Arabidopsis thaliana: one gene and its partner. The protein of the gene in region 2 interacts with the protein of the main gene of each other region in a biochemical or structural test. Each region holds a gene or a part of one and is shown on either strand. Other genes may lie near its edges.

Region 1 (4,147 bases), on a different chromosome or scaffold from region 2:
GCAATAGTTGAAACAATTAAGTTTAGTCCGTTTTCACATGCCTACTTATGCATTAGTTCTTGGCTTCTTGCAGACCTTGCGATCTAGAGATCAGTGATAAGATGTACATACTACATAGTACACATACCTACATAAACAAACATGCATATACGTATATATGCGTGTTCATATATATGTAGAGAGAAGCTAAGGATGGGGCTAACGAGAGACTGCAACAGAAGGCTAAGGCCTGATCTCTATGTTTCACATAGACTCGACATAATTCAGTGTCTACTAAGATGCTATATGCTCATACATATTAACTAGACCACACTTCACTGACATATTTTTAATGTAACATCAATCTATATTGTTCAATATACAGCACAAATATCGATGTTTTAACGAATAATGCACAGAGTTTTTATTTTTTCACTTGGGTATGACATATGATGTGGATGGTCAGTTATTCTGCTTGGCTCAATGTCTGTATAATTAGACTTATTTAAAGGTACTATGACCAATCCCAAGGAGACATATTATCTGTTTACTGAAAATGACTTTTTGAAGAAAATTTTAAATTATAATTAACCTTGGGATAACAACCATCCAATAAGTCATTAAGTGAACATTTCATCACCAAACCAAGAGCTTTCCGATAATTAAACACAGTAAGTTCTGTTCCACCTTTCAATTCAATACAGACAAATCACCAGTATATAATGTAAGTATCTCTCTCCATTCTTGAATATCTCCCCCAATTTTGTTTTTTTGTTTACAAATTGAAACTTAAAATACTAGAATAGTAACCAACAACGACAACAAAAAGAATACAAAAAAAAAAAAAAACTACAAACATAAATAGTTTTGGCATTACATCACAACACATAGCAAATAGATTATATGAAATTATAGATTATATAGTTTCTTAAACTTACCAAGATTCAAGGCAATGCATTATAATGATTAAGATCAGTCCAAGCTTGAATTCCATTGTTCCATTCACTTCCTCCTCCTCCTGTATTAGCATTATTACTAATCACTCCTTCATTATCACTGTTATTACCAAAATACCACTCTGTCTGATTATCTCCTTTCTTCGTCGGCGACGACGGCGATGATGAGTTTACGATCTCAAGATTCCGATAAAGAATAGGTTGTGGCCTCTCGACGACAACAGTTTCTTCCTTAGAATTACCAAAAAGCATCGCCATCCTCTGTTGCTGAAGCCTCCAGTGTAAATCTTGGTTTAAACAACTCAAAGTCTCTATAGAAGAAGCTAAGTTTCCGTCGCTTGCTCCGGCGGTTGTGAACCCCGTCGGTGAATGGTTGTTGTTGAAATCTCCAAAACCCATTAGGGATAAACCCGACCCGACATCAACGGGTGTGTTTTCTCGGCCCGAGGACATCATGGGCCTAAGATCAAGAACTTCTTGGTTATTCAAAAGTTGAAGATCGTTCATTTTGTTGAGAGATAATCCGGCCAGCTGAAAATCCATTGTTGTCGGAGGAGGGAAGAATTTGGATGAATCTTCCATGATTGATGAGAAGAACCTCTGAGAGGAAGAAGACGAAGGAAGTGTGTTCATGGAGGAATTAGGTTTGATAGATTTTTTGGTTTTCCGGCAACCACCACCGATGGGGACGTTTCTTAGAGCACCGCCACGTGTCCAGTAACGGCGACAAGATTTGCAGAAGTGACGAGGTTGAGAGAGACTGTAGTTGTTGTAGTAACAGAACTTTGTGTTTGGAGAGTTGCAACGAGGGCATTTTAGGTTTTGTTGGTCTTGAGCTACGGAGGAAGACGGTGGTTTCTTGGTTTGGGATGTACCGGAGATACGGTGATCTGGTTTAGGAACTGGTTTGGGAGAGGGGAGATTGGTATGGGAGGACATGGTGATGATGATGGGAGGAGAGAAAGATGAAGGAAGAAAAAAGTTTGGGGTCCTTTTTCGATTTCTTGCTTTGAATGAAATAAGTAAAGTAGGAGAGGAGAGAGAGAACAGTCGGTAAAAGGGTTTCGTATGGTTTATATTTTATATATACAAAATTATTGTATATATGTGAGAATATGGGGATATATATGTATTGTCGGGTTTGTGTGTAAAAAAGTTTGTTTTGCATAATTCTACATAGATATTTTATTAATTTGAAGTATATTATTAAAAAAAAGTGATTTGTCTTTTAAAAGTTGGAGAGACTTTGATTACCTAAGAAAATAAAACAGTGTTTAATGACTAAATACATTAACTTTTATTTAGTGTTTTGTTATTAGTTTTTCAAATGTTGATGATTAGTAATTTTTTTTTTTTTCTTTTTTGATGATTAGTAAAATTTAATTGCAGAAATAGTTTACATAACAGTTGTTATACATAATATTCAATATAGTAAAAATACGTATATAATAAGTGTTCACAAGGAGAATCACAATATTATTTGTGTTGTACACTGTGGTCTTCGTGTTCTTGTTCCTTTACAGAGTCATAGACTTGAATAATCATAAACCGCCATGTTTATCAAAACTGTGGTGTTCTTTTATTACATTGGATTAAATTCTTCATAAAATCTCGTTGTAGTTAATGTCTGTATATGTACATTGTACTTATGAATGTCAATAGAGAGAGAGAGAGGCATGAGTGAGAGATAATGGAGACAAAAGGAGAAGATGAGAGAGAGACATGAAGTGGCAGAAAAGACAGAAGAACATATATAACTGTGCAATTGATCGGAACAAATCGGATAGAATTTGTTATGTGTCTTGTTTCTATTGTTGAGGTAACGTTTTTTTTTTATATGTGTGAAGTGTGCACTGCACCATCTTTATACGTAGACAATATTAACATATTTACAGTCACAAATAATGTTTTCTTCCTTTACATACACCTATATACTTATATAGCTGTCAAGCGTATGCAACTCTATTAAGGAAACCAAAACTATTGGAACAAAATTTACGAAACATATATATTTTATTTTCTCTTCTGGATATCTCTTGTGCATGTAAGTTATTGGGGGGGGGGGGGGGGGGGGTTTGCCAAGAAATCGAATAAATGGATAAGTATTAATATGTACTACGCAGGCATAGTTCATTGTGCATATACGTATACTCTCTGAAATTTTTGGATTTATGTGAGTCCAAATCGTCATTCAGAATAGTAATTAGACTGAAACATACAATATATAGTAATTTTATACACTTAAGCAACATTTTTGAAGTTATATTTTACGGACATTAATTTGGGATTACGAATCTTGTAATCTAGAAAAGCCTTATTAAGAAGAGGGTAGGGTTTAACTCTGAAGAAAGTAACGTTTGCTTAACTCTCTGACATCTTTTTGTAACCAAACCCATTTCTAAAAACATTGTTTGTGTCGCTAATACATGTACATGAAATTTAAGTTTTCAGTTAAAAGCCAAAGTGATTGACATATGTTCAAATTGAACTGGCATCAAAATCAGATTCAATTGGTTTTTAGATATGAGGCCAATACAGACAAGTGTATATATAATATAAAAATTAATAAATCCAAAAATAGAAAAAGAGAGGAGATTGTGTTTTGATGATTGATATATTAAACGTCTCCATCTGTGAAGAAACACGAGAGAACGGAGAAGACAAAATGGGAAACATGTGAGAGCCCTCGAGGAATGGATCTCTCGTGAGACTAAACCGATCATCCACAAGTATACAAGTTACACCGATTTTATAAATTACTTATATAAAATAAAGCATATACTAGCGATTTTATAATTTTTTCAACTTAAGTTTATTGCTGAAAATCTTGTAACATTATAACGGATGGATAATTTTAAGTTTAACCATTTTCAGCTGGAAAATTTAATTCGTAATAATACTTGACACTAAAAAAATTTCTAAGTAGCATATTACAACATACATATTTTCGTCACCGTTGTCACTCTCGAACTCGGATCTCATTTTTCTATATTTGATAATATTTTTGTAACAGCAGTACAAAATTTATTACGGCGTTTAAATTTAATGTTATATCTATCTGTAATTGGTTGTTGAAGCGAGAAAGAGACATGACAAAGGAAATTACTTAAGGTAAAAGACGCAGTTTCATCAAAGATTGGTCAAATGTTATATCGTTATCAAAGGTCGTAGAAGCATATCCACCTGGTTTACGTGCTGTTCCCATTTATTCC
Region 2 (4,652 bases):
AGTATTGACTATGTATAAACAGTATTAAATCTTTTAATATTTGAATGTTAGATTCCTAATATGTGGAAATTAGTCTTTATAACTTTCAAAATCTTACGTACTAAAAATGAGGTCATTTAACAGTAGTTTCTTCCATTTGCGACATTGTTATCATACTTATATGATTTGTTTTCTTTCTTACTTTGTTTTGGAAGCAACCAAGCAACCTTCGTAAATGAAATCGTCGAGAAGGTTAAGGCAATGCTTGACAACGTTTCCTCATCACACGTACGTAATCCTATTAAATCAAAAATTATGTAGTTCTAGAATTAGAGAAATTGAAATATTGCCAATGACAAAGAAAAAAAAAAGGTGTGTACAAAAGAACATACTGTATGTTAATTATATATATATAATTATTGTATAAATCTAGTGGCTAATCATTGTAAAATCTCTAGATTACGCCGCAACATCAAGTTTACATAAGTTTTCGGAGTCGAGAGATCCGCAACAAGTTCTCCAGCCTTCTTAGAGCCGCGTTACGAAGGAGTGGGATCAACGTCCTTCTAGATGATGAAAATATCACTCGAATAGAGTCAAGAGACGAAGTTGATAGACTTTTTTGTCGAGTTTCGAGAGTGAAGGATCGAACTAGTGTTCATTACCAAAATTTGCAAGAGCTCGACGTAGTGCTTGAAGAAACTGCTGGAGATGAATAAACACATCGAGTTTTTCCCATTTTCTACGAGTACAATCCAAGTGACATGATACAAGTCTAAACAAAGATAGCTTTTTAATTTAATTTCTTGAGTTACAAGATAACAACATGATATGTAGAAGAAACAGAACACTATCTAAGACATCCTGATAATAAGAATGGACATAACTACTAAAGATATGTCTTGGGTTACAAGGATCCTTATAGAACAATTTCTTGAGTTGCAAGACAGCTTTTTTAACTAGTGAAATAGCTTAAACAACGATCAACATGAGATGAAGGAGAAACAGAGCTTAAACACTACTAATTTGTTTTGCTCAATGTCAGAGTATAAAACTTGCTTTCCCCTTCTTAAATAATGTTTTAAATGCTCGGCAGAGGATTGAACTTCACAGATTCGAGCCACACAAGCTCCTTTATCTCTTCTTCAGTGGAAGACGGATCCTCAAAATGGAAACTGAAATGGTTGGAACAAACAGGCTCGTCGTTAAGGTCGTGAAGAGCTGACAAGTAAGGATAACACAGTGCTTCCTCAACTGCAAAACAAAGAGTATGATCAAGGATTCATCACCCATATGCCAATCTCGCTATGTACAATTTTTCTCATCATACCCGTGATACGTTTTACTGGATCAAACACGAGCATTTTCTCTAGTAGATCGATAGCTGTAGAATTCATACTAGGAAACCTAGCTGAAAAGTTTTGTCTTGGGAACTTAGGTAGCTCCTTAACATATTTTCTCGCGTTCGCGCTTCTGAGAAACTCTAGACTCGCTCCATCAGGTGATCCTATCAACTACTCAACCACATGAAACAACTCATAAACACATTGCAACACACAAATAAAAGTTTCCAACATTTGTACAGATCTTTCTAAAACAGAACATCATACCTCAGTGATAAGTTTAAGCTGATGAACGTAATCCTTCCCCGGGAAAAGCGGTTCCCTTGTCATAATCTCAGCAAATATGCAACCAACAGACCATACATCAATAGCAGATGTATACTCAGAACTATTAAGAAGCAGCTCTGGTGCTCTGTACCATCGTGTTACAACATACTCTGTCATATACTCTGTTTCTGATGTAGTCCTTGCCAAACCAAAGTCAGTAATCTTAAGATCGCAATTCGAATTCAAAAGCAAATTACTCGGCTTAAGGTCACGATGTAAAACATTTGCTGAATGAATATATTTGAGTCCTCGTAGAATCTGATACAAGAAGTACTGCAAAAGAAGAAAAAGTGAATCACTTGTGATTAAATCAACCATAGTATCAAATATAGCAGAGTAAAAACCGTACCTGACAATGATCATCATTCAAAGATTGGTTTGATCGAATAATCTGATGAAGATCAGTATCCATTAACTCAAAAACTATATAAACATCAACGAAATCTTCCTTCTTTGGTGGTCTAATGATATCTTTTATAACAACAACCTGTACAAGTCAAGACCACATTAGCTAGAAACTCTAATCGTTTACCGCGAAAATAGAGTACAAAACTTACGTTCTCGTGTTCTAAATGACGAAGTAGCTTAATCTCTCTCAATGTTCTCTTTGCATCTACTTTATTATCAAAGGCTTTACCTATCTTCTTTATCGCAATCTCTTCGTGTGTCTCCGAATCTACTGCAGCACTATAACAATAAACCAATACTCTCATGAATCATTTTGCTTATACATAAACACAAACACAAACAAATCATCAAATTCATTCAATTTAAACTATGATTTTGAAGACAGAACCTTTCTTAAATCCAAAAAAGATCAAATTTTGCAAGCAACCCTAATTCAAAAACCTATACCAATACTTAGTTCTTTATCTAATTAGGGTTACAAATACTAAGTAAGAAACAAGAATATGAAATACACAAAAGGGTAGAAGTTGTACCAGACAAAACCGTAAGCTCCTCTACCAATAGGTCGAATAGGAGGAACATACTTATTAGAAACTTCAAACAAGTTTCCATAAACATTGTATTGAAAATATCTTCCTCCATGAACAAGAACTCCTTTGATGTTAGTATCACCTAAATCTGTCGCTGATTCAATTTCCTTCGCCATTTTTTTCAAATATCGAGATAATACAGAAGAAACCCAGAAAATCAAACTTTGAATACAAGATTTTTGGAGATGAGATCGATTCGATTCGTCTCTGCAAAATTAAAATAATGATTTTGTTGAATGTTGAAAACTTTGAAAATCTAAGGAGATAGAGAGAGACGCGTCAGAGGACAACGACTCTTTTTCATTAGTTTGAATATTTTGAATAGGTCAAAACGTATCGTCACATGTCCATCAGCCACGTGTACTTTGTAATAAATACAGATGGGTAAACGTTTGGGCCTGGCCCATCTATTTAATATAGAGAGAGGTATGCTATCAGCTCTGGTCTATGTTATGAGGCCCACGTAATATGAAAGTAAGAGACCTTTTCCTTTTCACCTATCAATACACATCTCTCACTAAAGGAATTCTTCGCAACAGATACTGAGATACAATACAAGTTGGAGTTTAATCTCTCCTCTTCTACTTGATGATTCTCATCCAAAACTACATACTTTCATTCTAAGGTATGTATTCCATATAATCAATTCATACTTTGTGGTGCGAGCGTAATGGTAGACGTCATGGTAACTCTTCTGTTCCTTCGGCCAAGCTTGCAAGTATTATCGACAAGAACGTTAGAAACCGCTCCATCAGCACAATTTGGATCTCGGGAAACTCGGTTTATGAAGAGGGCCTCCACTATTGGTTCCACACCCGTATTCCATAGATTCCTTCAAATGTTATAGTCTCTTCGTTTTCAAACTTTCAACTCAAAGTCACATTCATTATACAATTTTTTTTGGTGAATATCATATTATTCACTTAATATATCAGTAACATCTTATATGTACATATAACAGTTGACATATTAAACCAATATCGAATAGAATGTTATCTTTTACTTAATATATTAATTTATACTATTCACCAAATTGTCATTAAAATTACGTTTTGAACTCTGGAATATCGCGAGTTTACCAATTTACTCATAATCTTCAACTTTTCTATATAAAAAAAAGAAAATTAATATGGATCATATTATACGAGGTTTCTTTTGATAACTTAATCTTTTGAGTCAAATTTACGCAGAACCTAAATATAATTAACTTGTGATGCTCAAACTACAACCCTTAAAATACCCTAAATTGTTCAATATTTTCCTCGTAAAATACCCCATATCTAACTCAAATCACTCGCACTTACACATCAAATATGACTAGGCCGACACAATATAATATATATCCAATAATTACATGTTATTTAATTGGTACGACAATCTCCGACAACGATACCATTACCAATACCAATCTCTTTTAGCCATATTCATGCTAAAAGTGTAGTGGCAGATCCAATTCACTTTTATTATTGATCTTCTCCACTGATTGGCTTAATTTGATGTGGCATTCAATTAGATTAATTAGATCTCCAACATTATCCATGCTTTATAACTCATGACTCACGTGACTGTTTTTTTTCCCTCAAGTTTTGTTTCGTTTATCTTCACAATATTTTTAGATATCCTAAATTGAAAACATAATAGACATGATTGTTGAATTATGTAGGTAAATCTCTCAGTTAGAAATACTGGGTTTGAGGCATGTTGGAAGAGATTTCTTTCCCAAAGGATATGAATTTAATCTGGTGTGGATCCCGCCTCTAGAAAATGTAAGGTCTTTGAGTTTGAATTTCCAGATATTCAAAAAAAATAAAAAAACAAAAAGACAACAACTCTAAGCATAATAATTTACTCAAGTTGATATGTGGTGAACTATTCAATGTGAAACGTTTGCGCTCTATTATTGGTATGCTGTATTATTAGTGTGACGGTATGACACAACGGAACTTCCAATATATATGTTGTACAATTCTAAATTGGATTTTACCGGGGGAAAATATCTTGATCA

Evidence for each region. The genes of interacting proteins can lie anywhere in the genome.
Region 1: of the proteins of MPK5 (region 2) and AT5G65590, one has a biochemical effect on the other in vitro, tested with the Arabidopsis thaliana proteins (one large-scale study listed by BioGRID).

Annotation. Positions count from the first base shown.
Region 1 is NC_003076.8:26,211,161-26,215,307, forward strand, and holds AT5G65590 (Dof-type zinc finger DNA-binding family protein), read right to left. Parts: upstream 2,074-4,147; 5' UTR 1,875-2,073; coding exon 924-1,874; 3' UTR 586-923; downstream 1-585. UniProt on the Arabidopsis thaliana protein: Transcription factor that binds specifically to a 5'-AA[AG]G-3' consensus core sequence.
Region 2 is NC_003075.7:6,890,254-6,894,905, reverse strand, and holds MPK5 (MAP kinase 5), read right to left. Parts: upstream 2,981-4,652; 5' UTR 2,764-2,980; coding exon 2,591-2,763; intron 2,337-2,590; coding exon 2,207-2,336; intron 2,137-2,206; coding exon 1,999-2,136; intron 1,923-1,998; coding exon 1,590-1,922; intron 1,494-1,589; coding exon 1,310-1,493; intron 1,234-1,309; coding exon 1,061-1,233; 3' UTR 699-1,060; downstream 1-698. Other genes in the region: AT4G11340 (Disease resistance protein (TIR-NBS-LRR class) family), read left to right, coding at 195-267, 438-698.